3 linked regions of the Macaca fascicularis genome follow. The protein of the gene in region 1 binds, or shares a complex with, the protein of each later gene. Links are inferred from orthologs where the notes say so. Each region holds a gene or a part of one and is shown on either strand. Other genes may lie near its edges.

Region 1 (10,384 bases):
ATCAAAAAGCAGCTGTACTGCAAATATTCCCCATCCCAAAACCACTTGTAACTCTAAATTCTGTCCACTTCTATTTTCAATATCACAACTCTACTCCATGCCACACTAAGTACTTAAATGGACACCTACAACAGCTTTCTTAACTAGCTTTTCTGTCTCTGATCTTGTTCCTCTTAATTGCAGACAAAATAACTGCTGTAAAAGAATCCTCAAATTTTATAGTACAGAGCACCAACCTAGGATATTCTTTAATACATAAATGTCTGAGTCCCCAATGCCCCTCCCAAGAGTCTGTTGCAGTAGAGAATGGCCAATTGGATTTTCTGATGCAAGTGTTCTCTGGATCTGAAAAACACTTCTTTAAAATTTAAATCAGACAAAGCATAGTGGCTCATGCTTGTAATCCCAGCACTCTGAAAGACCAAGACAGGTGTATCACTTGAGGTCAGGAGTTCGAGACCAGCCTGGCCAACATGGTGAAACCTCATCTGTACTAAAAATTAAAAAAAAAATTAGCTGGGTGTGGTGGCGTGCATCTGTAGTCCCAGCTACCTGGCTACCTGGGAGGCTGAGGCAGGAGAATCGCTTGTACCTGGGAGGTGGAGGCTGCAGTGAGCCAAGATCGTACCACTGCACTCCAGCCTGGGCATGTGACAGTGTGAGACTCCATCTCAGAGAAAAAAAAAAAAAAAAGGAAATAAAAATTTTAAAAAATAAAGAAATCCAATCACATCACTTTTTTTTTTTTTTTTTTTTGAGACAGGGTCTTATTCTGTTGCCCAGGCTGGAGTACAGGGGTGCAATCTTGATTCACTGCAACCTCCACCTCCCAGGCTCAAGCAATCGTCCCACCTCACCAATTGGTGGCCCCTGCTCACCAATTTGTCTTTATTTCTAATATCTATCCTGTACCAACAACGCTCCAGTCACACCTAACTACTCCCAAGTTCCCAAACGCTATTTTCTCTATCTGGGCTTTCTCTCTTTTTAAAAAAAATTTTGGGCCAGGCGCAGTAGCTCATGCCTGTAATCCCAGCACTTTGGAAGGCCCAGGTGGATGGATCACGAGGTCAAGAGATGGAGACCATCCTAGCCAACATGATGGAACCCTATCTCTGCTAAAAATACAAAAATTAGCTGAGTGTGGTGGTGCACACCTGTAGTCCCAGCTACTCGGGACGCTGAGGCAGGAGAATCACTTGAACCCGGGAGGCGGAGGCTCCAGTGAGCCAAGATTGTACCATTGCACTCCAGCCTGGCTACAGAGCGAGACTCCATCTAAAAAGAAAAAGAAAAAAAAAAAAATTGGGGGGCATGGTGACTCATGCCTGTAATCCCAGCACCTTGGGAGGCCAAGGCGGGTGGGTCACCTGAGGTCAGGAGTTCGAGACCAGCCTGACTAACATGGTGAAACCCCGTCTCTCCTAAAAACACAAAAATCAGGCAGGCGTGGTGGCATGCACCTATAATCCCAGCTACTTGGGAGACTGAGGCAGAAGAATGGCTTGAACCTGGGAGGCAGAGGTTGCAGTGAGCTGAGATCAAGCCATTGCACTCCAGTCTGGGCAAGAGAGTGACACTGTCTCAAAAAAGAAAAAAAAATTAGGCCGGGCGCGGTGGCTCAAGCCTGTAATCCCAGCACTTTGGGAGGCCGAGACGGGCGGATCACGAGGTCAGAAGATCGAGACCATCCTGGCTAACACGGTGAAACCCCGTCTCTACTAAAAAATACAAAAAACTAGCCGGGCGAGGTGGCGGGCGCCTATAGTCCCAGCTACTCGGGAGGCTGAGACAGGAGAATGGCGTAAACCCGAGAGGCGGAGCTTGCAGTGAGCCGAGATCGCAGCCACTGCACTCCAGCCTGGGTGACAGAGCCAGACTCCGTCTCAAAAAAAAAAAAAAAAAAAGAAAAAAAAATTAATTTTTTTTGGCTGGGCATGCCGGCTCATGCTTATAATCTCAGCACTCTGGGAGGTCAAGGTAGGAGGACTGTTTGAAGCCAGCAATTGGGGGCTGTAGTGAGCTGTGATCCCACAACTGCACTCCAGCCTGGGTGACTGGGCAACAGAGTGATACCCTGCCTCTTCTTAAAAAAAAAAAAAAAAAAAAAAAGAGGGCTGGGCACAGTGGCTCACACCTATAATCCTGGTACTTTGGGAAGATGATGCGGGCAGATCACCTGAGGTCGAGTTCATGACCAGCCTGGCCAACATGGTGAAACCCCGTCTCTACTACAAATACAAAAGTTAGCCGGGTGTGGTGGCGTGCACCTGTAATCCCAGCTACTCAGGAGGCTGAGCCAGGAAAATTGCTTGAACCTGTGAGGCGGAGGTTGCAGTGAGCCAAGATCACGCCACTGCACTCCTGTCTGGGTTACAGAGCAAGACTCCATCTCAAACAAAAAAAGAAAAGAAAGTTTTTAATTTTTGTGAATACATAGAAGGTATATATATTTATGCAGTACATGAGATTTTTTTTTTTGAGACAGAGTTTCGCTCTTGTTGCCCAGGCTGGAGCACAATGGCACGATCTTAGCTCACTGCAACCTCCACCTCTTGGGTTCAAGTAATTCTCCTGCCTCAGTCTCCTGGGTCACTGGGATTACAGGCGCCAGCTACCACGCCTAGCTAATTTTTCTTTTTTTTGTTGTTTTTTTTTTTTTTTGAGACGGAGTCTCACTCTGTGCCCCAGGCTGGAGTGCAGCGGCGCGACCTCGGCTCACTGCAAGCTCCGCCCCCCGGGTTCACGCCATTCTCCTGCCTCAGCCTCCCAAGTAGCTGGGACTACAGGCGCCCGCCACCACGCCCGACTAGTTTTTTGTATTTTTTTAGTAGAGACGGGGTTTCACGGTGTTAGCCAGGATGGTCTCGATCTCCTGACCTTGTGATCCGCCTGCCTCGGCCTCCCAAAGTGCTGGGATTACAGGCTTGAGCCACCGCAACCGGCGCTAATTTTTCTTTTCAGTAGAGACAGGGTTTTGCCACGTTGGCCAGGCTGGTCTTGAACTCCTGACCGCAGCTGATCCACCCGACTCGGCCTCCCAAAGTGCTGGGATTACAGGTGTGAGCCACTGCGCCCGGCCCATGAGATATTTTTATATAGCTATACAATGTGTAATAATCATGTTAAGGGTAAATGGGGTACGGATCACTTCAAGCACTTATCCTTTGTTACAAACAATTCAATTACATTCTTTTATTGACACTTATTTTTTTTTTTGAGATGGAGTCTTGCCCTGTCACCAGCCTGGAGCACAGTGGCGTGATCTCGGCTCACTGCAACCTCTGCCTCCCAGATTCAAGCAATTCTCCTGCCTCAGCCTCCTGAGTAGCTGGGACCATAGGCGCGCGCCACCACACCCCGGCTAATTTTTGTATTTTTGGTAGAGACAGGATTTCACCATGTTGGCCAGGGTGGTCTCGATCTCTTGACTTCGTGATCCACCCACCTTGGCCTCCCAAAGTGCTGGGATTACAGGCTTGAGCCACCACGCCCAGCCAATAGTTATTTTTAAATATACAATAAGTTACTGTTGACTGTAGTCACCATGTTGCAAATATGAAATTCTAGATCTTAGTCATTCTTATTTTTTAAATTTTTTTGAGACAGAGTCTTGCTCTGTTGCCCGGGCTGGATTACAGTGGTGTTGATTATGGCTCCCTGCCACCTCCACTTCCCAGGCTCAAGGGATTCTCCTGCCTCAGCCACTTGAGTAGTTGGAATTACGGGCATGCGTGACCACGACCTGCTAATTTTTGTATTTTTAGTAGAGATGGAGTTTTGCCAAGTTGGCCAGGCTGGTCTTGACCTCCTGGCCTCAAGTGACTGGCCCACCTTGGCCTCCCACAGTGCTGGGATTACAGGTGTGAGCCATTGCGCTGGGTTTAGATCTTATTCATCCTAAGTATTATTACTTTTTTGTACCCCTATGGGTTTTTTTTTTTTTTCCAGACGGAGTCTCGCTCTGTCACCCAGGCTGGAGTGCAGTGGTGCGATCTCAGCTCACTGCAAGCTCCGCCTTCCGGGTTCACACCATTCTCTTGCCTCAGCCTCCAGAGTAGGTGGGACTACAAGGCGCCCGCCACCATGCTTGGCTAATTTTTTGTATTTTTAGTAGAGACAGGGTTTCACCGTGTTAGCCAGGATGGTCTCCACCTCCTCACCTTGTGATACGCCCGTCTCGGCCTCCCAAAGTGCTGGGATCACAGGCGTGAGCCACAGTGCCTGGCCTCTTTTTTTTTTTATGTATTTACTTTTTAAGACAGTCTCACTCCGTCACCCACATAGGAGTGCAGTGGCATGATTTCAGCTCACTGCCACCTCCATCTCCTGGGATCAAACAATTTTCGTGTCTCAGCCTCCCAAGTAGCTGGAATTACAGGCATACATCACCATACCCAGCTAATTTTTGTTATTTTTTAGTAGAGATGGGTTTTCACCATGTTGGCCAGGCTGGTCTCAAACTCCTGGTCTCAAGTGATCCGCCTGCCTCAGTCTTCCAAAGTGCTGGGATTACAGGCATGAGCCACTGCTCCCAGCCCCTATGGGCTTTCTTGACTGTTGTTCCCTCTGCCTAGAACACATTCTACCCAGTCAACTCTTAATCTTTCCTGACTGACTAGGATGGATTCAGTGCCCAGCTATAACACCCTACTTAGCCCTATCCCAGCGCTATCCTCTATCAGCAAGTGGTACAATTGCTTGAATGTTTGTCTGACTTCCTTATTAAGTTGTAAGATCTCTAAAGATAGGAATTTTGTTATAGTGTTCACTGTTCCATCTTCAAGGGCTTAACAGATTCTAAAATGTAGTAACGGTTCTAAAAATTTATAGACAAAATCTTTGATCCACTATCCAATTCCCCCTGTATATAATCCCATTAGCAGAACTCAGGACTCCACTCAACAACCCAGAAAACAAACATTTATTCTGATGGCATCTCTAGTAGTTTATCCAAAAGACAGGAAACTCTCCTAGAAACAGAGAAATCCCCACCTATAAAATGATGGATGCTCTTGGCACAAAACATTCAGAATCCTACCCTTTCAAAGTCTTCAGATAGATTTGGAAAAAAAAATCCACGAAAAAAATATCCAACTGGCTGGCTTCTTAACCTCCACTGCATAAAACAAACTGTCAAACATCTTTCAGAGGACTTCAAGATGTACTCATTCTCTTATTTAGAATCTCATATTCTTCAGACAGGAAGAGAAGTCAACTAAAAGTATAACACCTGTGGCTTGAGACGGCATGCCCCAAGTTTTCCCTAGGTCTAAAGAGAACAAGACATTCTGTAACACTTTCTCAGAAGCATAAATGAAGAATACACAAGAGGATAAACACGGAGGTCATGGTACGTTTGCAACGAAGGTGTGTACACTTTCTAAAAGCATTTCTGATCTGTACCATAGGAAAAAACCTGTCATACTCACTTCTGAGTCTTCTGCACTTTCATAATCCGAGAGAACAGCTGAAATAAAACAGAAATATGTGGAAAAACAGAAACCCAGAAACATTTTTTGGCTGCTTATTATAGGTCAGACTAAGAGTCTCATTTAATTCTGACATCAACCTACAACGTGGATAAAATTATAGTCTCCACTTACAGAAGGAAAAACAGACTCAGAGTAACTTGCACAAGACTACACTGCTAAAACCTATGCTCTTAAGCACTATACTACAAAAAGCCACTCTGTGGCCCTAAATCCGTGTGTGAGAATGTCGACAGTTGGAAATAGATTTTCTGAGTTTATGTTAAAAAAAACTCTTGTCCTAATGGGGTAAAAGATGCTACTCACCATCACCTTCAATGCCATCTTCACTCTCCTGAAGGAAAGTAGAAGACATGGGTTAGTTCTGTGATTTCCAGAGGTGGAGAGCCCAATAAAGAAATGTGGGTGAAGAGCTGAAGAATGAGCACAAAATGGTCGGAGAGAGAGACAAGTAGTAGCCAAGGCAGGCCTGGTCTTTAGTAGCCAAGGCAGATCTGGTCTCCTTCCCTCCAGACCCGATTTCTGAATAAACATCCGCTTTCCATCCCCAGCGGCTCTGCCATCCTCCCAGAAACCCCCAATCCTTCTTCCCTTAGAACTCCGGATGCAAACTCGCACTGGGATAACTCCCCTTTTCTCGTAAAAACAACAAAAAAAGTCCCAGTATCTACTATCAACTCCCAGACACCTAGCATCACCTACACCCCGCCCCCGGCCGGCCGGCTCGCCGCCCGGTCCCCACCCCACCCCGCCCCGCCTCGCCTGCGCGCACTCACACACTCCGACTCCTCAGCGCTCTTGGCGCCCCCGCTCTCCACCCGCCGCAAATGAAGGGCCCCGATTCGGCCTCCGCGCTGTGAAGGCAGAGAGCCGCTGCCGCCGCCTCCAGCGCTACCGCTGCAGCTCCCGCCGCCCCGCAACGGGGAGCCGCCGCTGTCTGAGCCCGAAGCACCAGATTCCTCGTCCTCGGTGTCTTGCGAAGCGCGCTGCCGCCGCCGGTCCGCCATTTTACGGAGAACGGCCACCGCCGGCGAGCTACTTACGCACCGCGCCCGTCCCAGAGGCTGCTGGGAGGCTCGCTAGCTAGTCCCGGCGTGCTGCGCGTGCGGCGCTCAGCCATCCCGCTTGGGGTGGGCGGGACACGGGGCGGGGCCTTGGCCTGCGGCAGGTTTGCGGCGGAACCGGATTACGTCTATCGGTGATGTAAGGGGGCGTGGCGCGGCTTCTGACTTCTCTTAGGCAGGCCTAGGGCGAGGGGAATTGAGAATTCAGCTGCTTCCCGGGTTCCTGGCCCGGCCATCTTGGGCTTCCCGAGTGGAAGGCATCGACCTGTCACAGCTTTACTGCAACACTGGGGTTGTTTCATGGTTTTCTGTTTCCGTTTCTCAGTTCTACCTACGTTTGAAGCAGGTCAATTTACTGCATTCCTTTGCTTGGTAATATCACGAATCAAGGTAAATCTTAAAAGCCGTAGTGCTGCGTCAGATTTGCTACACCAGCCCGGTTTTTAAGATAACGAGCGAAGGAGAAACCAATTGTCTGCAGTGAAGCCAGAGGACTTCTTGTTGCAGCGTTTTCTCTGTGTTCTCATTTCCTCTTCACGTTTCTTCCCACCCCAGCCATCACCTGTCCCAAAGTGCAGGCTGGTATGATGCCAGTGTTATCGGTTTGATTTGGTTTGGTTTTGAGGCAGGGTCTCTTGCGCAGGCTGGAGTGCAGTGGCACGATCACGGCTCACTGCAGCTTGACCTCCCGGGCACAGGTGACCTCCCTGCCTCAGCCTCCTTCGTAGCTGGGACAACCGTCACACACTACCACACCCGGCTAATTTTTCTATTTTTTGTAGAGATGGGGGTCTCGCTATTGCTCAGGCTTGTCTCCTGGCTGGGCTCAAGCGATCCTCTCGTCTCAGCCTCCCAAAGTGCTGGGATTACAGGCATGAGCTACTGCCCTTGTGAGGATTTTAAAACCTATTTAAAAATAAATGGTCAGTAGAAACGGATGTTGATTCAAAATCCTGACATTATTTCCTTCTTAAGGTTCATGGAAATTCTTTGATTTTGGCAAGGCGTTTGTCACCAATGAAAAGAATCAATGTATTTTCTTTGTACCATTATAAGGATATACAAAGTGCATGAGCTAAGTTTTTAGTGTACCTACAGGAGTGCACGCTAATAATGTATGTATCAAACAAAGGCCACTATGGCATAGGATTCTTTCCTGAGTAAAAAAAAAAAAAAGTTTTTTTTTTTTGAGACGGAGTCTCTGTCGCCCAGGCTGGAGTGCAGTGGCGCCATCTCGCCTCACTGCAAGCTCCGCCTCCCGGGTTCACGCCATTCTGCCTCAGCCTCCCGAGTAGCTGGGACTACAGGCGCCCGCCACCACGCCCGGCTAATTTTTTGTATTTTTAGTAGAGACGGGGTTTCACCGTGTTAGCCAGGATGGTGTCAATCTCCTGACCTCATGATCCGCCCGCCTCAGCCTCCCAAAGTGCTGGGATTACAGGAGTGAGCCAACACGTGCAGCCTTTCCTGAGTAGAATTTTTATAAATAACATGGTTAAGGATCCTGATGTTTATCAAATTTATAGACAACATGAAACTGGAAGTAATTATGAATGCCTTCAGAGATTAAATGAAAATTCAAGGCCGGTTACGGTGGCTCATACCTGTAATCCCAGCACTTCGGGAGGCCAAGGCGGGCGGATCACGAGGTCAGGAGATCGAGACCATCCTGGCTAACACGGTGAAACCCCGTCTCTACTAAAAAATACAAAAAGCTAGCCGGGCAAGGTGGCGGGCGCCTGTAGTCCCAGGTACTTGGGAGGCTGAGGCAGAGTGGCGTGAACCCGTGAGGCGGAGCTTGCAGTGAGCCGAGGTGGAGCCACTGCACTCCAGCCTGGGTAACAGCGAGACTCCGTCTCAGAAAAAAAATTCAAACAATCTCAGCTAATTAGACAAGTGGCCAAACGTGACGACTTGTAAGTCCAGCTCCAAAAGCCAACTGCCTGAGTTCAAAATGGAGGATATATGATTTAATAAGTGTTAAAGTAAAAGACCTGGAGGATCTTATCGATCATAAGCTAAACTGGTGCAAATAAGGCTGCCAAGTTTAGTGTCTAAATAAGGAAAGTGATAGTCTGCCACTTTGTCCTTCAGTTGTTTGGTCTGGGTCCAATTTAATTTTTTTTTTTTTTTTTTTTTTGAGACAGTCTTGCTCTGTCGCCCAAGCTGGAGTGCAGTGACCAGATCTCAGCTCACTGCAAGCTCTGCCTCCCGGGTTTACGCCATTCTCCTGCCTCAGCCTCCCGAGTCGCTGGGACTACAGGCACCCGCCACTTCGCCCGGCTAGGTTTTTGTATTTTTTAGTAGAGACGGGGTTTCACCGTGTTAGCCAGGATGATCTCGATCTCCTGACCTCGTGATCCGCTCGTCTTGGCCTCCCAAAGTGCTGGGATTAGAGGCTTGAGCCACCACGCCCGGCCTGTTTGTTTTTTTTTTTTTTCCAGACAGAGTCTCGCTCTGTCACCCAGGCTTGAAGTGCTTTGGCGCGACCTCCGCTCACTGCAAGCTCCACCCCCCGGGGTTCATGCCATTCTCCTGCCTCAGCCTCCTGAGTAGCTGGGACTACCAGCGCCCACCCACCACGCCCGGCTAATTTTTTTGTATTTTTAGTAGAGACGGGGTTTCACCGTGTTAGCCAGGATGGTCTCGATCTCCTGACCTCGTGATCCGCCCACCTCGGCCTCACAAAGTGCTGGGATTACAGGCGTGAGCCACCTTGCCCGGCCTCGAGCCACAGCAATCTTTAGGGACTATGAAGAAAAGGAGGGATTGATCTTTTTTTCATTATCCTAGAAGGCAAAGCAAAAACCAATGGGTTTAAGTTACAAGAAGTTAGATTTTTGTCAACAAGCAAGAATTTTCAAACACTTAGGGGGAAAAATGTAATGTAAAAAACAAATTGTTGAAGCAGAAGCTGGAATTTGCTCCTCTGGAATGTTATCAAGGGTAAATCATGTATCGGGGTCACACTAGATGACCTCTAAGGTCTTTCCAACTGTAAGATTTTGTTAACTTAGACACCAGGGACCAAGTATCCTATAATCTCGTTTCTGAAGTTGCTAATTATACTTTTCTTTTTTTGAGTTGGAGTCTCCCTCTGTCACCCAGGCTGGAGTGCAATGGCATGATCTCGGTTCACCACAACCTCTGCCCCTCCTGGGTTCAAGCGATTCTCATGCCTCAGCCTCCCAAGTAGCTGGGATTACAGGTGCCTGCCACCACACCTGGCTAATTTATTGTACTTTTAGTAGAGACAGGGTTTCACCATGTTGGCCAGGCTGGTTTCGAACTTCTGACCTCAGGTGATCTACCCGCCTCAGCCTCCCGAAGTGCTGGGGTTACAAATGTGAGCCACCATGCCCAGCACCCCCCTTTTTTTTTTTTGACCAGTCTTTTTTTTTTTTTTTTTTTTTTTTGAGATGGAGTCTCACTGTCACCCAGGCTGGAGTGTAGCAGGTTGATCTTGGCTTAATTCCACTTCCCAGGTTCAAGAGATTTTCCTGCCTTAGCCTCCCAAGTAACTAGGATAACAGGTGCATGCCACCACACCTGGATAATTTTTGTATTTTTAGTAGATGAGATTTTACCGTGTTTTACTGTTGGCCAGGCTGGTCTTGAACCACTAACCACAAGTGATCTGCCCACCTCAGCCTCCAAAGTGCTGGGATTACAGGCGTGAGCCACTGCACTCAGCCAAGTTGCTGATTATACTTAAGGAAGCACACTAGACAATTGAGAAGGATGAAACATACATTCTACTTATATACAAATGAAAGTGAGTATCTTATATAAAGGGGAAAATAATGTGTTACTCTTTTTTATTGTGGA
Region 2 (10,384 bases), on another chromosome or scaffold:
TCACAGCTCACTGCAGCCTAACCCCCGGGCTCAAGCTATCCTCCCGCCTCAGCCTCCTGAGTAGCTGAGACCACAGGTGTGTGCCACCACACTCGGCTCATTTTTTGTGGAGATGGGTTTCGCCATGTTACCCAGGCTGATTTCGAACTCCTGGGCTCAAGTAATCCTCCCACCTCAGTCTCTCAAAGTGTTGGGATTACAGGCAGAGCCTCCTTCTGTTTTTCTAAAGTGGGGTCCCAAACATGATACTGCTCATCATCGGAAGTGGGAAGAGGAAACTTGGAGCCCCTAAGAGAATCAGTGGTGCGAGGAACTTTAGGGACAGCTCTCTTTCTCCCTCTCTCTCACACACACGCACGCACACACTCTTGCTCTGCCCCTTACTTGGTGGAAAGGAGCCATATCACCATCCCTGTTTTGTTTTGTTTCTTTTGCTCTGGAATAAATAATACAATAACATGGTGCAATTACCAAAAGAATAGAAAGGCACACAGTGAAAAAATGTATGAAAAGGTGCTCAACTTAATCAGAGAAATGCAAAGTGAAACTACAATAAGCTACCCCTACACACCTACCAGACAATACCAGATGTTGGGAAGAGTATGAAGCAATCTCACACACTGCTGATAAGTGTAAATTGGTACAACCCTGTTGGAAAACTCTATGGTAGTATCTACTAAAGTTGAGCATATGCTTACTCTGTGATCCAGCAATTCCACTCCTAGGTATGTATCTGACATGAATCACCAAACAATATGTTCTAAAATGTTCCCAGTAGCACTATGAGTATTAGCCCCTAAGAGTGGAATAAATTGTAGTAGACTCATACAATGGAATAATATGTAACAGTGAAAAGGAATAATCCACAGCTACATATAACATAAATGAGTTGGGCGTGGTGGCTCACACCTGTAATCCCAGCACTTCGGGAGGCCGAGGCAGGTGGATCACAAGGTCAGGAGTTCAAGACCAGCTTGGCCAATGTTAGAAACAAAATGCTTGTTCCTCGGTGCCACAAAGAAACAGCACTTTTTTTTTAATTTAAATTAAACATAAATTTAATTTTCTCAGCAAGACAATTTTTACTTCTATAGAAGGGTGCAACTCGTGAATGGAGTAACGGCAAGAGCTCACCTGAACAAGGGAGGGGAAGGGGTTCTTATTCCTGACACAGGTAGCCCCTACTGCTGTGTCGTTCCCCTATTGGCTAGGGTTGGACTGCACAATCTAAGCTAATTCCGATTGGCTACTTTAAAGAGAGCAGGGGTATGAGACAGAGTGGCGGGGTAAGTAGTTTGGCGGGAAGGACGGTTAGGAACAGGTAACTAAAGGTGGCTTAGGTCAGAGCAAGTGACCAGGGGTGACTCAGGTCAAAGCAGATGACCAGGGTGAGTCAGGACCGAGCAGGTGATCAGGGGAACAGATGTGAACTACTGATTAAAACTGGTGGAAAAGGTTGTTTACTGAAACTACGAGGAAGTTAAACTTTACAATGGAAGACAAAGAACTGAACATACTGACATACCGATTCTTTGAAGAGAAATCTAGAACTCCCTGTATCCAACAGTCAATATGGTGAAACCCCGTCTCTACTGAAAATACAAAAATTAGCCAGGTGTGGTGGCACATGCCTGTAGTCCCAGCTACTGGGGAGGCTGAGGCAGAAGAATTGCTTGAACCCGGGAGGTGGAGGTTGCAGTGAGTCAAGATGTAAGCCAAGATGGTGCCACTGCACTTCAGCCTGGGTGATAGAGCAAGATTCCGTCTCTAAATAAATAAATACATAAATCTCATTCATAAATGTTGAGAGAAAGGAGACTAACATAAAAGAATACATGCTGTATGATTCAGTTTACGTAAAGTTCAAAGCAGACAAACTCAATAGTATTAGAAGTCATTCATAGAAGGATGTAGCTGCTAAAAAAGAAAAAGCAAAATGGATAGTGATATTCTTGGTGGTGAAAATGACTGGGAACAAGCAGGAAGAGAGCATCTGGAGTGCTGGCAATGTTTTGTTTCTTGATCTGCATGCTGGTTACATAAGTGTGTTCACTTTGTGAAAATTCAGCAAGCTGGATACTTTTAGTGCACTTGTCTGTACACGTGTTATACTGCAATTAAAAGTTTCATTAAAAAGGAAGTCTACAGTATGTGTTAGGCAGAATAATATCTCCTCCAAAGTTGTACACATCCTAATCCCCAGAACCCAAGACTATGTTAGGTTATACAGCAAAAGGAAATTAAGGTTGCTAATCAGCTGTCCTTAAAATAGGGAGATTATCCTGGATTTTACAGGTGGACACAATGTAAACACAGGAGTCCTTAAAAGTGAAAGGGGAAAGTGGGGAGGCCGGGAGTTGGAGACCAGCCTGGGCAACACAGTGAGACCCTTTCTCTACAAAAATAAAAATAAATTAGCTGGGCATGATGGCATGCACCTGTAGTCCCAGCTATTTGGGAGGCTAAGGCAGGAGGATCACTTCAGCTCAGGAGTTTAAGGCTTCAGTGAGCTGTGACCCTGAAAAAACAAAACAAAACTTGGAATGGCAAGGCAGAGAGTAAAAGAGATACAGACAATAGACAGAAGTAGGGGCAGGGTCAAAGAGAGACGCTATGCTGCTGGCTTTGAAGACAAAGGGTTCACAAGCCAAGAAATACGGGCTGCCTCAAGAGTCTGAAAAAGACAAGGAAATCAATTATCTCCTAGAGCCTCCAGGAAGGAACTCAGTCCTGCCAACACTTTGATTTTAGCCTAGTGAGACCCATATTGGACTGCTTATTTATTTATTTATTTATTTATTTATTTATTTTTACTTTTTTTTTTTTTTTTTGAGATGGAGTTTTGCTCTGTCACCCAGGTTGGAGTGCAGTGGTGCAATCTCACTGCAAGCTCCACTTCCTGGATTCACGCCATTCTCCTGCCTCAGCCTCCCGAGTAGCTGGGACTACAGGTGCCCACCACCACGCCTGGCTAATTTTTTGTATTTCTCGTAGAGACGGGGTTTCACTGTGTTAGCCAGGATGGTCTTGATCTCCTGACCTCGTGATCCCCCACCTCGGCCTCCCAAAGTGCTGGGATTACAGGTGTGAGCCACCGCGCTCAGCCTTACTATATTTTTTGCCCCCTCACAGGACAAACTTAAAACCTTGTTGGACTTTTAACCTACAGAACTGTAAGATAATACACTTGCATTATTTAAACCCACTAAATTTGTGGTAATGTTACAGCAGGAATAGGAAGCTAATACAGTTGGTGTGGGGGAAGATCAAGTGTTCGGTTTTGGATGCATTCAGTGGCTGAACACGTTAGACGTCTTAAGTGGAGATGTTAAATAGGCAGTTGGATACATGACTCTGATGATTTCCAAGGCTCATAAGAATGGCCAGGTACTGAAAGAAAGAGTAACAGATCCCAAATACAGGGAAACAGTTTTGGCCACAGGAATAGGAATCCAAAAATAGGCTGGACATTTAGAGTGAAAAAATTTAAGTGCAGAGTCAGGGGAATATATTCTAGAGGTCAGCAAAAATGGGAGTTGGCCCTGAGGCAGCTTTCTGCCTTGGGCTCCTATTGCATCTTTACTTTGGTTTTTGTCCTCTATGGGTGTCTGTCTGTCTCTCTCTCTCTCTCTTTTTTTTTTGAGATGGAGTCTCACTCTGTCACCCAGGTTGGAGTCCAGTGGTTCTACCTCGGCTCACTGCAATCTCCGCCTCCCAGGTTCAAGTGACTCTCCTGATTCAGCCTCCCAAATAGCTGGGACTACAGGCGCCCGCCACCATGCCCAGCTAATTTTTGTATTTTAGTAGAGACAGGGTTTCACCAAGTTGGTCAGGCTGGTCTTGAACTCCTGATCTCAGGTGATCTGCCTGCCTCGGCCTCCCAAAGTGCTGGGATTACAGGCATGAGCCACCACGCCCAGCTAATTTTTTGTGTTTTTAGTAGAGACGGGGTTTCGCCAAGTTAGCCAGGCTGGTCTCGAACTCCTGACTTCAGGTGATCCATCCGCCTTGGCCTCCTAAATTGCTGGGATTATAGGCGTGAGCCACCACGTCCGGCCGACTGAAGTGCTTTCTATCATTGTGGTTTTACCTTTTCTAAAATTTCATATAAATGGAATTGTACAACATGTACTCTCTTGGTGTCTGGATTCTGTCACTCAACATAATCACTGTGAGATTCACTTATGTTGATGCGTATATCAATAGTTAATTTTTATTGCTGAGTGGCATTTCATTCTATGGCTGTACCATATTTTGTTTTATCCCTTTGCCTATTGAGAACATTTGGATTGTTTCCAGTTTGGAGTTATTATAAATAATGTAAAATTGGCCCTTTTTAAGTGAAGAGGGTGATCACAACTAAATCAAATTGGGTTTTATTTTTATTCCCTTCCCTGTGGGACATCAGTACCTGGGGAGAATGATCCTTTTGTAAAATAAGGTGATGAAAACAAATCTCGTATATTTTGGTCATATTACTCCTTTAAATATCAGTATCTTGTGTTTATTTATTATTATCCTTCTTTTTTAGATACAGGGTCTCGCTCTGTCGCCCAAGCTGGAGTGCAGTGGCGCGATCATGGCTCACTGCAGCCTCGAATTCCTGGGCTCAAGATCCTCCCTTCTCAGCCTTCCCTAGCAGCTGGGAATACAGGCGCGCGCCACTGAACTCGGCTAATATTGTAGTGTTTACTAAGTATCTGTAAATCCTAATCAATATAAGGAAAATAAATTTTTTTTAATGTTAGGCTCTTTCTTTGAGTTGTAGGAAAATAAATTCTAAAGCCTCTGAATTCAAAGACAAAATATACAAGTCGCTCCCCTAGTGAGGCAAAATTTGGACGGCATTGAGTTTATCCGATGGAAACTAAGCGTGCAGAACGTATCTTTCGACCTGAAAAACTCTGAAGATGAAAGGATTCGATTTACTTACAAACAGGGACCCTGAGATACCTCTGGCTCCTGAACGCCCAACAAAAGCGGGCAGCTGCTTTGCATGCCGGGACTTGTAGTCCCCGACAGAGTCACTTCAAGATGGCGGAGTTGCTAATGACGCGCGAAGGGGCGGGCCCAGAGGGAGTCTGCGCCGCGAGGGGATTGGGTGGCACAGGAACTTGGCGGGCGGGAAGTAAAAACCAGGTGTTAAAACCTTTGCACTGGGAAAGGCCCAAGTCTCGCGAGAGCTTGGCAGGCCCCAGTGGAACGTGGGGCCCGACTTATCATAAGGGGCATTTGTTGGGGGCGGAGCTTTGACGGGAGCTTCCCTGGAGCCGTTGGTGACCGGGGTAGCCCCGTTCCGGCCGAGCCGCTTCAGCGGGGGACGTAGCCATGAAGGAAGAGAAGGAGCACAGGCCTAAGGAGAAGCGAGTAACCTTGTTAACCCCCGCCGGGGCCACAGGCAGCGGTGGTGGGACCTCGGGGGACAGCTCCAAGGGGGAAGATAAGCAGGATCGCAACAAGGAGAAGAAAGAAGCGCTGAGCAAGGTGCCCGGTCGGCCGCTGGCCCGGGAGAGGGCGGGACGGGTCCGCAGCGCGGGGAGGATGGCTGGGAATGGGGCCGGCCCCTTTCTCTCTCAGGTTCCCCTTCTTCTCTTCGCCTGAATGGAAGTCGCACCATCCTGGTTTATCCTTTCTCCCGAAATGGGGAGAGCCCCTCCCGGCCAAATCCTGGGTAGGGGTGAGGAAAAGGGGGGACTCCCCAAACGGGAAGGGTTTAGGTCAGAGCTGTGAGGTGATAATGGGAAGAGAGAGCGACGGTATAAAGAATGAGGAACTAAAGGTGTAATTGGGGAGAAATATTAAATACTGAAGGAGACATCAGGGATGGGAATATTATTCATGGAGGCGAGTTGGGGGAGAGTTCAGGGTGATTAATGGTACGGGAGGGTAGATCGAGAGCATCCTATTTTGAGAGCAATGGGTGGATTTTTTGTATTCGTTAGAGTTTTGAATTCTTAAGTTCAATGGGCAAGGATTTTGTTTTAAGATGTGTTGGACGTGGGAGAAACTTGTTACTAAATCAAGATTTCGTGGCACCCACAAAGACCAGGGTTGGCTTACTAATTTCTTGCCACTAGATCTGTTAAAAAATGGGTGATCGAAAATGATGCACAAACCTGGTAAACTGCAGGGCTGCTGTAAAGAGCAAAACCTGAGATTTTTCCCTGCTCCAGGTGGTTCTCATTTCCAAGCGTTTTTTTTTTAAAACCGCGTTACTATTATCTTTGACTACTTCTGAGCATTGGGCTGCAGAATATTTTCTCCTGGGTTTTTACAAGTGATCTCATATTTTAAAAAGCCCAGTCTTCTTCAGGAACTGTGATTCTTTCAGGTATGAGAGAAAATTGATTTTTACTAATTTTATTTTCCTTATGCATTTCTTAAGGTGGTAATTCGAAGATTACCTCCCACTTTGACCAAGGAGCAGCTTCAGGAACATCTTCAACCTATGCCTGAGCATGATTATTTTGAGTTTTTTTCTAATGATACGAGGTAAAAAAAAAAAAAAAAAAAAAAAAAAAAGGAAAGGGGTAAATGAAAAAGGTTTCTTTCACTCTTTTTATCCTACTGTTTTCCATTTAATTTTTGAGCTTGTCTTTAATATATGCATACTTGTAATTGGGCCAGACACCTGCAAATACATTTACATAATTGCTTTCCTCTCTGCAGTTTGTATCCTCATATGTATGCCAGAGCATACATCAACTTTAAAAACCAAGAGGACATTATTTTGTTCAGGGATCGCTTTGATGGTTATGTATTCCTTGACAATAAAGGTGAGTTCTGGTAACTGAAATAAAAAGGGAATTTCTTTGTCATTCTTTGTCATTTGTATGTTTAAGACAGTGTGTGCATTGCGTTGCTTCCTGGGTGATAAAATGTGCAACATTTAAGTAAAGAGTTTTACACATTTGATAAGCTTGTTGCAGTCTTATAAATAGACATGTGACTTTTCACAGTCCTTGGTTACTTTTATTAACTTACTATTTTTTTAATTTGATCAACTGAGTGAAATTGCAACTGTTTTCTCCTCGTGTGACAAATTTTTTGCCCTGGCTTAAACCTGCTGTTTTGACTATAGAGTTTCAGCTGCAGTACTGATAAGTGACTCTTAAACTTGTTTGATAAGTTTTAAATATTTACTTCTTATTTTGCTTCAAAGACAAACATTTATTTAATTCAAATCCATTAAGCCAACAGTTCCCAGTTGGGATACTGTTGAACATTCTCACAAAGTTGTATATAATTAAAACATGAAACTTGATACATTGGCCGAGCACGGTGGCTCACGCCTGTAATCCCAGCACTTTGGGAGGCCGAGGCGGGCAGATCACGAGGTCAGGAAATCGAGACCATCCTGGCTAACACAGTGAAACCCCGTCTCTACTAAAAATACAAGAAATTAGCCGGGCATGGTGGCGGGTGCCTGTAGTCCCAGCTACTCGGGAGGCTGAGGCAGGAGAATGGCGTGAACCCAGGAGGCGGAGCTTGCAGTGAGCGGAGATCGCACCACTGCACTCCAGCCTGGGCGACAGAGCAAGACTCCGTTCCAAAAAAAAAAAAAAAAACTTGATACATCTCGGCCCGGTGCGTGGCTCTCGCCTGTAATCCTGTAATCCCAGCACTTTGGGATGCCGAGGCAAGTGGATCACGAGGTCAGGAGATCGAGACCAGCCTGGCCAACATGGTGAAACCCCGTCTCTACTAAAAATACTAAAAAAAATTAGCCAAATGCGGCGCCTGTAATCCCAGCTACTCAGGAGGCTGAGGCAGAAGAATCGCTTGAACCCGGGAGGCAGAGGTTGCAGTGAGCCGAGATCACGCCACTGCACTCCAGCCTGGCGACAGAGCCAGACTCTGTCTCAAAAAAAAACAAAAACAAAAACAAAAAAAACCTTGATACTTCTCTTACTTTATATCTAGAAAGGTCCAGTCTATAGGCAAGACACATTTCTGCTTTAACACTCTATTATATGCTACCTACAACATTTAGCCAGAGAATGTCTAAGCTGCCATTTGCCACTTTTCTTTTTGGTTTGCAATTATAGGTAAATAGTGTGTCTTCTTGTTTAGTTTTGTTTTTTTCAATATTCCTTCAAAGTTGGTAAAAATTAAATTTTTGTCAGGGACTATGCCAGTAAAAATTGAAGGATTGCCAGTGTTTATCCAACTTTTATTAATCTCCCCAAGCCAGCTATTTTTCCACTCCAACTATTTTATTCCAGTAGATATTTAACTAGATTCTAGTTACTTAGCCTGGAAATCTGAGTTGTGTTTAATTTTTTCCTTTTTTAAAATCTCTTACATGTAAGTTATGAATCTTGTCAATTTATTGTTTATCTTTTGAGACAGGGTCTCCACCCAGGTTGGAGTGCTGTGCCGCAATCATAGCCCACTGCAGCCTGGAATTCCTGGACTCAAGCAACCCTCCCACCTCAGCCTCCTGAGTAGCTGGGACTACAGACGCGTGTCACCATGCCTGGCTAATTTGCTTTAAATTTTTTTATAGAGCTGGGGTCTTGCTATGTTACCCAGGCTGGTCTTGAACTCCTGGGTTCAAGTGATCCCCCCACCTCAGCCTCCCAAAGTGCTGGGATTACAGGTGCAGGCCACCGTACCGAGCCCAACACCACTTATTAAAGAGACTATCCTTTCCCCATTGTGGTTTTTGTTTGTTCGTTTGTTTTGTTTTGTTTTTAAATCTTAAAGACAAGGTCTACTTATATTGCCCAGGCTGGATTTTATTGTTTTTTTAATATCTTGTTCACCTAGACTTTCAGTCACACTTTATGTTCTCATCATTTAATGTCTAGACAACCACTGTCTCTAAACTTACAGGATTTTCCATTTTTCCCATTCTTGTATAATTCAGTCTATTATATTGCCATGAAATTAATCTTTTTGAAAATAATGATTTAAACTAACGGTTGGGGGAAAAAAGTCCAAACTCCTTAGCCTGGTAGTCAGGGTCCTCCATATTCTGGCCTCACTTCTGTTTCTTCAGCCTGTCTTCCACAATTTCCCTCTGTTTCAGTCTGGTTTATCTATTCCTTCTCAAATATATTTTGGTTTTTGGTTTGTATTTTTGTTTTTATCATTTTCTTTCCTTTTTTCTTTTCTTTTTTTTTTTTTTTTTTTTTTTTTTTTTTGAGACAGACCATTACTCTGTCACCCAGGCTAGAGTACAGTGGCACAATCTTGGCTCATTACAACCTCCACCTCCTGGGTTCAAGCAATTCTCGTTCCTCAACCTGTCGACTTAGCTGGGATTACAGGTATGTGCCACCACGCCCAGCTAATTTTTGTAATTTTAGTAGGGATGGGGTTTTACCATGTTGACCAGGCTGGTCTCGAACTCCTGGCCTCAAGCAATCCACTCGCCTCAGCCTCCCAAAGTGCTGGAATTACAGGCATGAGCCACCATGCCTGGCCTAATATATCACAGTTTTGAAGCTAATCTGATTCTGTACTCACTGGGATTCCCAACATAATTTTTCCTTTATGACTGCTTTGCAGTGCCTTCTGGTCAATTCTATTTATTTTTATTTTTTTTCTTATGTCTATATGCCAGTGATTTAAGGATAGGATACCTTGTTTTTGACATTCTGTGACAGGGTGCTTGTGAATTTTTTTCCCATTAGTCACTTGAGGGTTTTGTATTGAAATATAACTCACCTATAGTAAAATTTATCCTCTTAAAGCGTACAATTCAGTGGTTTCTGGTATATTCACAAAGTAGTACAACCATCAGTACTAATTCCAGAATGTTTTCATCCCTCCAAAAAGAAACCCATATCTATTAGTAGTTACCTCCCATTCTCTCCCTCCAGCCCCTGGCAACCACTAATCTACTTTATATATCTATGATTTCCCTCCATTTCATATAAATGTAATCATACAATATGTGGTCTTTTCTGACTGGCTTTTTTTACCTAGCACGATGTTTTCAAGGTCCATCCATGTTGTAACATATAACATGTCATTATCTCATTCCTTCTGCTTTTTTTTTTTTTTAACGGAGTCTCGCTCTGTAGCCCAGGCTGGAGTGCAGTGGCACGATCTCGGCTCCCTGCAAGCTCCGCCCCCCGGGTTCACGCCATTCTCCTGCCTCAGCCTCCCGTGTAGCTGGGACTACAGGCACTCGCCACCACGCCCGGCTAATTTTCTTTCTTTTTTTTTTTTTTGTATTTTTAGTAGAGACGGGGTTTCACCGTGTTAGCCAGGATGGTCTCGATCTCCTGACCTCGTGATCCGCCCGCCTCGGCCTCCCAAAGTGCTGGGATTACAGGCATCAGCCACCGCGCCCAGCCTTCCTTCTGCGTTTTTAAAAATTGTAAAATACACATAACATAAAATTTACCATCTTAACCATTTTAAGTGTACA
Region 3 (10,384 bases), on another chromosome or scaffold:
ACTCATCATTTCACAAAATATAAATGAGTTAGCATTAAACATTTCAGAGTAAATAATTCCTTTTCCCGAAATGCATGAAGATAGAGTAACAGTCTTCTCACACTGTATTTTTAGGGTATGGAAAATTTAGAAGGTTAAAGAATTACTGCTTCAATTTTTCAGTTAAAAAAAATCAGGAAGCTCTGTTCATTCAGGCTATGCACCATGTGCACAGTCAAGAATTAGCAGAAAACCTCTGCATTTACAAACACTTTGTGCTATAAAAAGTAATTTTTAAAAAGCCACTTGTGTGTGTGTGTATATATATATATATTTAAAGCCAAGGTTTTGATACTTTTTTACAAGAACTGCAAGAGAAAACAGATACCTGTCCAAACCATATACTTTTAAAATAGCATTTTTTTTTTCCATACAAGCTGTTGTTAATTTGGGGGTAAAATGCTGGTTTGCAAACTTCATCAAATTGTTCCCAAGTGGATTTTCCTTGTTTGTCTTCCCCCACCAACCCTCAAGTTACCATATTCGATGTAAGAATCAGGCATGTTAGAATGTTGTGTCACACTAACCAGTTCTGCTCTTTTTGTCTTTTCATTCAAGTTCCATTAGCTTCTGTGCGCGGTGCCCTTTGCAGTCTGGTGTCTCTTCCAGAGGCAAGGGGGCTGAAGATGGCGTGCTGCATCTCACTAGCTGTACTAACATAATCTTGGTAAACTGAAAACCAAATGTGGACATTTGTAAAATCAGTGCACTGTTTCTAGAGAGAGATTAAATTCATTTTTAAAAAATCTTTAAGTATTGTTTCATTGTAATACTTTAATGAGCGGGAGTGAACTGAGTCCCTAATGTGTACCAGTATTCTACATACATTATCTCAATCTTTGTCAACAATTCGGTGAGGTAAATACTATCAATACTATCCACTCCCATTTTATAGATGAGAAAATGGGTGAAGTAACTGCCCAAAGTCACAAGGTTATTTTTAGTGCCCCCTAAGATCAATTGTAACGTAGCATTCTCTGCCTAAATTTTCCCTCTCTGCCTCTATATGACTAATTCCTATTTGTTCTTGAGTACTCCACTTAGGTAATGCCTCCTCCAGGAAGCCTTCCCTTCTCTCTAAGACTAGGTTAGATAACTCACCTCAGTACCTCTATAACAATTTTTGCCTACTTGCATCCCAATACTTCTGCCCTACCATTCATTCCTATGCCATTGGGGTTGCTTTTGCCAAGGTCATCCAGGACCTCCTCGATTATAAATCTGGTAAACATTTTCAGTCTTGATCTTTCTTGACCTGGAAGCAGTAGTTAACACTGTTAGCCACTCTTTTCTTGGAATACTCTTATTTTGGCTTCCATGATACCATATTCGTGGTTTTTCTCCTATCTCTCTGGCCACATCTTCGTCTCCTTTGCCCACCCTTTAAATTATGGTATTCCACTTCAAATCCATCCACTTTTCTATCTCCTTTACTTTTTTTTTTTTTTTTTTTTTAAAGAGACAGGGTCGCACTCTGTTACCCAGGCTGGAGTACAGTGGTAGGATCATAGCTCACTGCAACCTTAAACTCCTGGGCTTAAAGCAATCCTCCTGCCTCAGCCTCCTGAGTAGCTGGGACTACAGGCACATGCCACAATGCCTGGATAATTATTTTGCTTGCCTTTTTTTTTTTTTTTCTTTTTTTCTTTTTTTGACAAGGTCTCTTTCTCTGTTGCCCAGGCTGGAGTACAACGGCATGATCTCAGCTCACTGCAACCTCCGCCTCTTGGGTTCAAGCAATTATCCTGTCTCAGCCTCCTGAGTAGCTGGGGCTACAGGCGCATGCCACCCTGCCCAGCTAATAGATTACTTTAACTACTTATCTGAATGTCATACGTCTAGTCTTTTCATTTTCCAATCTAACCCACAACACTGCAGCCAAAGTGTCTTTCTAAAGTGCCATAGATGTATCACCACCACTTATTTCCACTTTCCTGTTTAAAGCCCTTCAACTGCTTTGCTGGCACTAAAATTCAATATTCTTGGGTGTGCCCAAACTCTTTTAATATGGTTTATAAAGCCCTTCATGATTCAGCTTCTGCCCCATCTCCAGCCTCATCACTCACTGCTCTATATTCTAATCACACAGTTCTGGGCCTCTGTCTGGAACATTTCCTTCAGGAACATTTCCCTAAGGACCCTACACTGTATTAGGAGTCACCTCATGTGCTTCCATAGTACTCTGTGCTTCCTTTACTGGAAATCTTATCCTTACATTGTAATTGCTTGTATGCTCCTTAACTTCCTCCTCTGCAAGCTCTGTAAAGAACTGTCTTGCCCAACATTGTATCCTCTCTCTCTGCACATGACACTCAGTGGATGCTCAATAAATGATGCTGAATGCAGGCACGGCAGACACACACAGACCATGCTCTTTCAGTTACACCACGTCTCATATCCAGAAACCTGGATTACTTTACAGCCTGACTGGAGTTGTGTGTCCTTTAAATTTCTCAACACTTTTGTTATTTGCCACATCTGAAGATCCCCAGATTCACTTATGATTTTTATAATTTTACTCCTGGAAAATAACCTTGTAGCAATTGCTTAATCCCTCTACACACTTAACTCTAATTACCACCTCAAAATTGTTGTGATGATTCGAAAAACAAGCACAGGTAATCCCATTCAGCCTAGGAGCTGACATTTATTAGGTGCTTGATGGTTCCCTTTTCTCTTTTTTTTTTTTTTTTTTTTTTTTTTTTTTTTTTTTAGATAGGGTCTTGCTTCGTCACCCAGGCTGGAGTGTAGTGGTATGATCATGGTTCGCTGCAGCCTTGACCTCCCAGGCTCAAATTATCCTCCTACCTCAGCCTCCCAAGTAGTTGGGACTACAGGTGTGCACCACCACACCTACCTAATTTTTAAATTTTTTGTAGAGACAAAGTCTCTCTATGTTACCCAAGCTGGTCTCAAACTTCTGGGCTCAAGTGATCCTTCTGCCTCAGCCTCCCAAACTGCTGGGATTACAAGTGTGAGCCACTGTGTCTAGCCCCCTTCTCTTTTATACAGTTCCCTTGTTACTACCAATATGCGGTGTTTTGTAATAAAAATGTCATGGTTTTATAGCAATTTACAGTTTCCGAGACATTGTTTCTTATAACAGTTCTGCTAGGTGTACGTTTTTATGCTCATTTTAAAGAGAAGGAAACTCTGAAGTCTAAAAAGTTGAGTCAGTTCACCTTTGGTTACAATGAGTCATTGTTAAAACAAAAGATTATTTTAACCAGTGTCCAATGGTTTTTTTCCCCCACCACACCTACTCTACACTCTGCTGCTAATGCTTTTTCAGGGAGAAAAGGACTCATTGTTAAGACTGGGGGCCATGCACGGTGGCTCATGCCTGTAATCCCAGCACTTTGGAAGGCTGAGGCGGATGGATCGCCTGAGGTCGGGAGTTTGAGACCAGCCTGGCCAACATGGTGAAACCCTGTCTCTACTAAAAATACAAAAATTAGCTGGATGTGGTGGCACGTGCCTGTAATCTCAGCTACTTGGGAGGCTAAGGCAGGAGAATCACTTGAACCCAGGAGGTGGAGGTTGCGGTGAACTGAGAACCAGCCGTTGCACTCTAGCCTGGGCAACAAGAGCAAAACTCTGTCTCAAAAAAAAAAAAAAAGACTGGGGGTAGGAATCAGAGACTGCTGTCCCGACTTACAGAATCTTATACTGTTCTAGTTGCCAGGCCCCAAGAATGATGTCATCTCAGCACTGTCTCTAGAACCATTCATTCTCTCTAAGTGTGGAACTTAGACGAGTGAGAGCAGGCTCCTATTAAATAATTATGATCTTGATTGCTCTGGCCCTACTCAACTGTAAATTTTTTCCAGAGCCAGAATGGCTTCACAGAGGACAACTTTGCTCTGAAAAGAGTCTCTTTGGTCAGTGGTCCTCAACTGAGAGCTTTACAAAGAGTACCAATGCCCAGTTCCAGCGCTGGAGATTTTAATTGGCTTGGGGTAGAGCCCTGGCATCAGTATTTTTAGAGGCTCCCCAGGTAATTCCAATGTGCAGCCAGGCTGAGAATCACTGCTCGGTAAGTGGGATGACTGGGGAGTGGGAGATCAAATACTCTAACTTCTCACAGCACCTATTCTAGAGATCAGTGGGGCAGAAAGATAGAAATAAAAGGTGGAAAAGGACGAAATGGGTAAGTGTGGGTGAACTAGTTCCAGGGAAACGGCAATCTCCACTGTGGATTCAGGGAAGGCGTCACTGAGGAGGGCTTTCTTAACAGTTCAGGTCAACGGAAGCCATCTTGAGGCACACACATCGTGCGCGGCATCCTCCGGGAAGGTCGGGTCATTTCACCCCATTTTACTGCCGAGATGACCTAGGTCCAGAGACGGTAAAGAGCGGTGTACGACTCACACAAGTCGGGGGTCCTGTGAACTGAGGTTGAGCCTGGCGGGGGCAAGGCTCGGGGTGTTCGGTCCGAGATCTTTAAGCGAAGTCACCAGACCCCGCGTTCAAAGCCCAGAGGTAGGCAGGCGGCTGGCTCTCGGCCTCAGGCCGGGAGAGAACCCAGCGGGTACCAACCTCAACCTCGCTCCCGCGTCCAAGTGGAGAAGCGGAGCTGGTTGGCCCCGCCTCCGGGTTAAACAAAGTTCGTTACCTCCTAGGCGTGAGAGGGTGTGGCAGTCTTGTTGTCACTTCCGGGCGAATAGGTTAGCTAGAAGGAACCCCTCCATTACGCGACGGCGTAATCTGACGTCACTTCCGCGCGCCGCCGCAAACGTCAGTGTCGGGCGCAGACCGCAGCAGTGCGGCTTGCTGTTGGAAGTTCAGGCTCGGTTGTCTTTTGGGAGCCATGGAGAGTGACTTTTATCTGCGTTACTACGTGGGGCACAAGGGCAAATTCGGCCACGAGTTCCTGGAGTTTGAGTTCCGACCGGATGGTAAAAGCAGCCTGCCGCCCGCCCGGAGCGGGACCAGGCCTTGGGGCGGGCGAGTGGGGAGGCCGAGGGTCGGAAATCTGTGGGGAACTAGAGGAGGAAGGGGCTGAGACCTGTGCAGTGCGGATCTGAAAGGAGCGCCACTGTGTCTGCTCCACGGCGTCGTTTTATCCATACAACAAACGTTGGCTGAACGCCCACTGTGTGCCAGGCTCTGTTCCACTCTTTGGGGATACGACAGCGAAGATAGACAAACTTCCTCTCTCGTGGAACTTGTGTTTTACTGCTGGGAGAGAGATCATAAAAAGATGATTCCGGATAGCAGTGAGTGGTCAGAAAATATGGTAGAATCGCTGGATGGGCTGCTTTTAGATAGGTTGGCCATTAGAGAGCTCTAATGGTATATTGCAGCTGAGCCCTAATTAGCAAGAAGGACCCAGCCTTGTGAAGCTCACAAGGAAGACCATTCTACCCAAAGGGAATACCAGAAGTCAAGGCTGCAGGGCGGGAATGAGCTTAGGCATGTCTCAGGTGGTCAGTGTGATTGAAGAGTGGTGAGCTGGGAGATGGCAGGAGATGATGTCGGATAGGTAGTAGGAGCCGCACCTTGTAGATCTTTATAGACCAGGGTAAAGAGTTTGGACTTGGAAGGCTTTTTTAATTTTATTTATTTTTTTTTTTGAGACGGGTTTCGCTCTTTTTGCCCAGGCTGTAATGCTATGGCGCGATTTCGGATCATTGCAACCTCCGCCTCCCGAGTTAAAGCGATTCTCCTGCCTCAGCCTCCCGAGTAGCTGGTATTACAGACACCCACCACCACGCCCGGCTAATTTTGTATTTTTAGTAGAGACAGGGTTTCACCAGGTTGGCCAGGCTGGTCTCGAACTTCTGACCTCGGGCGATCCGCCGGCCTCGGTGTCCCAAAGTGCTGCGATTACAGGCGTGAGCCACCGCGCCTGGCCGGGCTTGGAAGGTTTTAAGCAGAGAAGAAATGTGATCTGTTCTTGAAAAAGCATTCTGGTTATTGGGTGCGGAATGGGCAACAGTGAAAACAGGGCTATTGATTAGGAGACTGTTGTCAAGACAAGAAAGATGTTGGGGGCCAGTCGCAGTGGCTCACGCCTGTAATCCCAGGACTTTGGGAGGCCGAGGTGTGCGGATAACTTGAGGTTAGGAGTTCGAGACCAGCCTGGCCAACATGGTGAAACCCCGCCTCTACTAAAAATACAAAAATTAGCCGGACGTGGTGGCAGATGCCTGTAATCCCAGCTGTTCGGGAGGCTGAGACAGGATAATCGCTTGAACCTGGGGCGGAGGTTGCAGTGAGCTGAGATAGTGCCAGTGTACTCCAGTCTGGGTGACAGAGCGAGACTGTGTCACAAAAAAAAAAAAAAAAAAGATGTCGGTTGGGACTACAGAGATAGTAGAAATGGAGAGAAAGATTTAGGAAACTGTTGGAGGCAGAATCAACTGGACTTTGATCGTTGATAGGATTTTTTTGGCGGAGGCACTGTGGTGAAGGAAAGAGGAATCAAAGATGACAGAAAACATCCATTAAGCGGGCCACAAAGATGTATCTGACAGGCCCCGACTGTGAGGGAGATGGATTTGTAAGCAGGGACCAAACAGCGTATTAGGTGTTGTGGTAAAAAGAAACAGAGGAGACTTGCAGCAGAGAAGGGGCACCTAGCCAAGCCTGAGGGTCAGAGGAGGCTTCCTACATAAAATGATGGGAGGAGGGGATGTGAGGTATTGATTAGGAGACCAAGAAGAGTCAAGAAGGCATTTTAGACAGCATGCAAAGAGGCTGAAAACCAAAAAGTGCTTGGGATGTTTCAGGCAGAAACCAAGTTGTTCGACTCCAGCTGTGTGAGAGAAGAATATTGCAGGAGTGAGGCTGGAAAAGCAGGCAGGGGCTTTGCTTAGCCGTATGCCATGTTGAGGAGTTTGGATTTTTTTTTTTTTTTTTTGAGATGGAGTCTTGCTCAGTTGCCCAGGCTGGAGTGCAGTGGCGCGATCTGGGTTCACTACAAGCTCCGCCTCCCGGGTTCACGCTATTCTCCTGCCTCAGCCTCCTAGGTAGCTGGGACTACAGGCGCCCGCCACCACGCCTGGCTAATTTTTTACATTTTTAGTAGAGACGGGGTTTCACCGTGTTAGCCAGGATGGTCTCGATCTCCTGACCTCGTGATCTGCCCGCCTCGGCCTCCCAAAGTGCTGGGATTACAGGCGTGAGCCACCGCGCCCGGCCGGATTTTAACCAGGAAGGCAGCGGAAAGCCATTGACTTTATCAAAGTATTAGAGTAACCTAATCTGATAGATCTGTTACCACATCACCTTGTCCACTATATGGACAGTGAACTGAATGTGAAGAAACTTGAGGCAGAGAGACAGCACAGAGACTGTTGGAATAAATTCACTGGGCTCATCTCACATGTATGTCTTCTAGTCTACATGTCTTCTGTTTCCTTCTATCTTCTCCTCATCCCCACCATGTATTCACATTAACCTGTTAGACGCACACATGGACAAAGGGTCTTGTGTACCAAATGTGCTCAGTGATAAAAGCAACAACTTTTCCATCACAGAAATAGAGTGTGGCACAGTCACATGATAATATATGTAAACAGCATCCTACAGTTTTCAAAATGTTTTCACAACTCATTTGAGCCTCAGGAGGTCCTATGTGCTGGTAAGTTATCATTTACTCTGCCTGTTTTCAGGACATTCACCTGCAAAAATGTGATTCGACAAAGTCAGAAAAGAGCCTGCCTGTGTTTTTACCTCACCTGAGCTGCTTTTTGCAGTAGTTGAGTGTCAGCTGTATATTTGGCTGTTTAAGCCTGAAGTGAAGAACTGAAAGACTAGTATTGTTGAACTACCTTAAGAGTAAATAATAAATGTCTTAGACACTTTGAGCAAGTTGGATACATTTTAGGCAACTGCCGATAGTCTTGGTATGGTATTGATGCTTTATTCATGTTTTTATTATATGTTGAATTTGGCTTTTGTCCCCACAGGGAAGTTAAGATATGCCAACAACAGCAATTACAAGAATGATGTCATGATCAGAAAAGAGGTATGCCTTCTGAGAGGCCTTCATTTTCTACATTTCAGCTTTTTGTCTTGCATTGTTTTTGTTGTATCTAGTATTGAAAGGTAAAGAACAGGGAGAGAGACACATGTCTGTAGACAGCTTCTGGATTATTTCCCAAATCATCTTTTAGTTGGGATTTTTTTATTTTACAATGTGGAATCAATTACTGGTAACCATTGACATACCTTGGTTTGAACCCTGAGTCTGCTGCTTACTACCTCATGTGACAGTGGGCAAGTTCCTGGCTGAACTTGATTAAATCTCTGTTTCTTCACCTGCAAAAACAGGGAAAATAAAAGCTACCTCCCACTCCCAAGTGCTGTCATAAAATTAAATGTGTTATACTTAAAGTGCTCTATATATTCCCTGGCACATAGTACACAATGGAGAGCTATTTAATTTGCATCTGAGTGGGAAAGGGAGCATGGGAAAGCAGTTGATATCATTGAATGCATGTTAGATGTCAGGCATGGCATCTTATTTAACCCTGATTATAAGCCCATGTGATGGGGGAGGGTATTATAGCCCCCTTACAAATAAGAAAATAAAGGCCCAGATATTAATTATGAGACTTGTTCAGAGTTACCCCTGCTAGTAAGAGATACAGCAGGAATTCCCAATTAAAGGAATTCCCCAGTAAAGTTTGTATTCTCCTCTCTGTGATTTCTACTACATCATTAAGGCTTCATCAAAGCTACTCTTTTAACCACTCTGCCACCTTTGAAAATGTCTTAGCATATATTTTTCATACTGTTGTTTTAGCTATCAGTTTCATGCTTATTCACACATGTCAACATTCTCACTATTTTTTTACACAGGCATATCTTTTCAAATACATTTTGCTCCTCAGGAGCGTATTACCTAGTTAAGAATAACTGGCCGGGCGCGGTGGCTCACGCCTGTAATCCCAGCACTTTGGGAGGCCAAGGTGGGTGGATCACGAGGTCAGGAGATCGAGACCATCCTGGCTAACACGGTGAAACCCCGTCTGTACTGAAAATACAAAAAAATATAGCCGTGGTGGTGGGTGCCTGTAGTCCCAGCTATTCAGGAGGCAGAGCGTGCAGTGAGTCGAGATTGCACCACTGCACCCCAGCCTGGGCCACAGAGTGAGACTCCGTCTCAAAAAAAAATAAACCAGGGCATGTAGGTGTTGCTGTCTCTTTTGTTTTGCTATAACAGAATACCTGAGACTGGGTAATTTTTAAGCCATAAAAATATATTTCTCACAGTTTTGGAGGTTGGGAAGTCCAAGATCAAGGCACTGGCAGGTTCAGTGATTAGTGAGGGCCCAGTCTCTGCTTCCACAACTGTGCCTTGTTTTTGCATCCTCCAGAAGGGATGAATGCAGTGTTCTCATATGGTGAAAGAACAAGCAAGGGGCCAGCTAGTTCTCTTAAGCTGTCTCCTAAGGCACTAATCCTATCCATGGGGGCTCTGCCCTCAAGGCCCAATCAACTCTTAAAGGCCCTATTGATTAACACCGTTGCATTGGGGATTAATTTCAACATGAATTTTGGAGGAGACACAAAAATTCAAACCATAGCAGGGGGCATTCACAGATCTATTTTGGGTTTCTTTGTGAGTTGGCTGTGTGGACAGGCAGAAGGGCCATGTAAACAGGATGTACCAGGAGGTAGTAACAGCTAGATGGGGGACTGAGGTGCAGTTTATTAGATACTTCTGACCCTGTCCCTCACCTGCATCATGCCGAGGTTGAGCATGAATGTCTTCCCACTTAAGAAGATGCCAGAAATAAGTCTGCAGGAACAGTTATTTTTATCTTCCATCACTATCTAAGTCAAAGCACTGCTTAAGGATACAACATACATTTTGTCTTTTAACTTGCTTTCAGGCTTATGTACATAAAAGCGTGATGGAGGAACTGAAGAGAATAATCGATGACAGTGAAATTACCAAAGAGGATGATGCATTGTGGCCTCCTCCTGACCGAGTGGGCCGGCAGGTATGTTTTATTGATTATCCTGTAGTGCAGAAATCTTACAAATAAGATGAGGTTTAGTGCTCTGCATATGATAGTGAAACTGTGTGCATGTGTGTGTGATGGTGGTGGTGGTGGTGGTGGTCAGCCCTGCAGAAAGCAGATTGCCAGCACCTTGGTCTAAGGAAGCATTAATCCCACAGGAAGGAACAGAGAGAACAAGTGCTGCTGGCCACCAAGAACCCAGCCTTGAATTTCTTCTTAGGACCCCCCACACTCCCTCCTCCACTTAAAGCTTTTGCTGCCTATCTCATTTACTAACTACTATGGACAAAGCATTGTGGAGATACAAAGAAAAATAGAACATGATTATTTCACCAATCTAATGAAAGGAAAATCATACAAATAAT

What was found.
Region 2: CASC3 (region 1) and UPF3B share a complex: the UniProt entries of both Homo sapiens proteins name them as parts of the mRNA splicing-dependent exon junction complex. The link is inferred for Macaca fascicularis from reciprocal best matches to the Homo sapiens genes CASC3 and UPF3B.
Region 3: CASC3 (region 1) and MAGOH share a complex: the UniProt entries of both Homo sapiens proteins name them as parts of the mRNA splicing-dependent exon junction complex. The link is inferred for Macaca fascicularis from reciprocal best matches to the Homo sapiens genes CASC3 and MAGOH.

Annotation. Positions count from the first base shown.
Region 1 is NC_088390.1:61,215,077-61,225,460, reverse strand, and holds the start of CASC3 (protein CASC3), read right to left. Parts: upstream 6,525-10,384; 5' UTR 6,500-6,524; coding exon 6,269-6,499; intron 5,827-6,268; coding exon 5,799-5,826; intron 5,471-5,798; coding exon 5,433-5,470; intron 1-5,432. UniProt on the Homo sapiens protein: Required for pre-mRNA splicing as component of the spliceosome. Core component of the splicing-dependent multiprotein exon junction complex (EJC) deposited at splice junctions on mRNAs.
Region 2 is NC_088395.1:126,201,718-126,212,101, reverse strand, and holds the start of UPF3B (regulator of nonsense transcripts 3B), read left to right. Parts: upstream 1-5,251; 5' UTR 5,252-5,328; coding exon 5,329-5,484; intron 5,485-6,385; coding exon 6,386-6,492; intron 6,493-6,669; coding exon 6,670-6,776; intron 6,777-10,384. UniProt on the Homo sapiens protein: Involved in nonsense-mediated decay (NMD) of mRNAs containing premature stop codons by associating with the nuclear exon junction complex (EJC) and serving as link between the EJC core and NMD machinery.
Region 3 is NC_088375.1:181,430,776-181,441,159, forward strand, and holds the start of MAGOH (protein mago nashi homolog), read left to right. Parts: upstream 1-4,779; 5' UTR 4,780-4,849; coding exon 4,850-4,937; intron 4,938-7,955; coding exon 7,956-8,014; intron 8,015-9,887; coding exon 9,888-9,998; intron 9,999-10,384. UniProt on the Homo sapiens protein: Required for pre-mRNA splicing as component of the spliceosome. Plays a redundant role with MAGOHB as core component of the exon junction complex (EJC) and in the nonsense-mediated decay (NMD) pathway.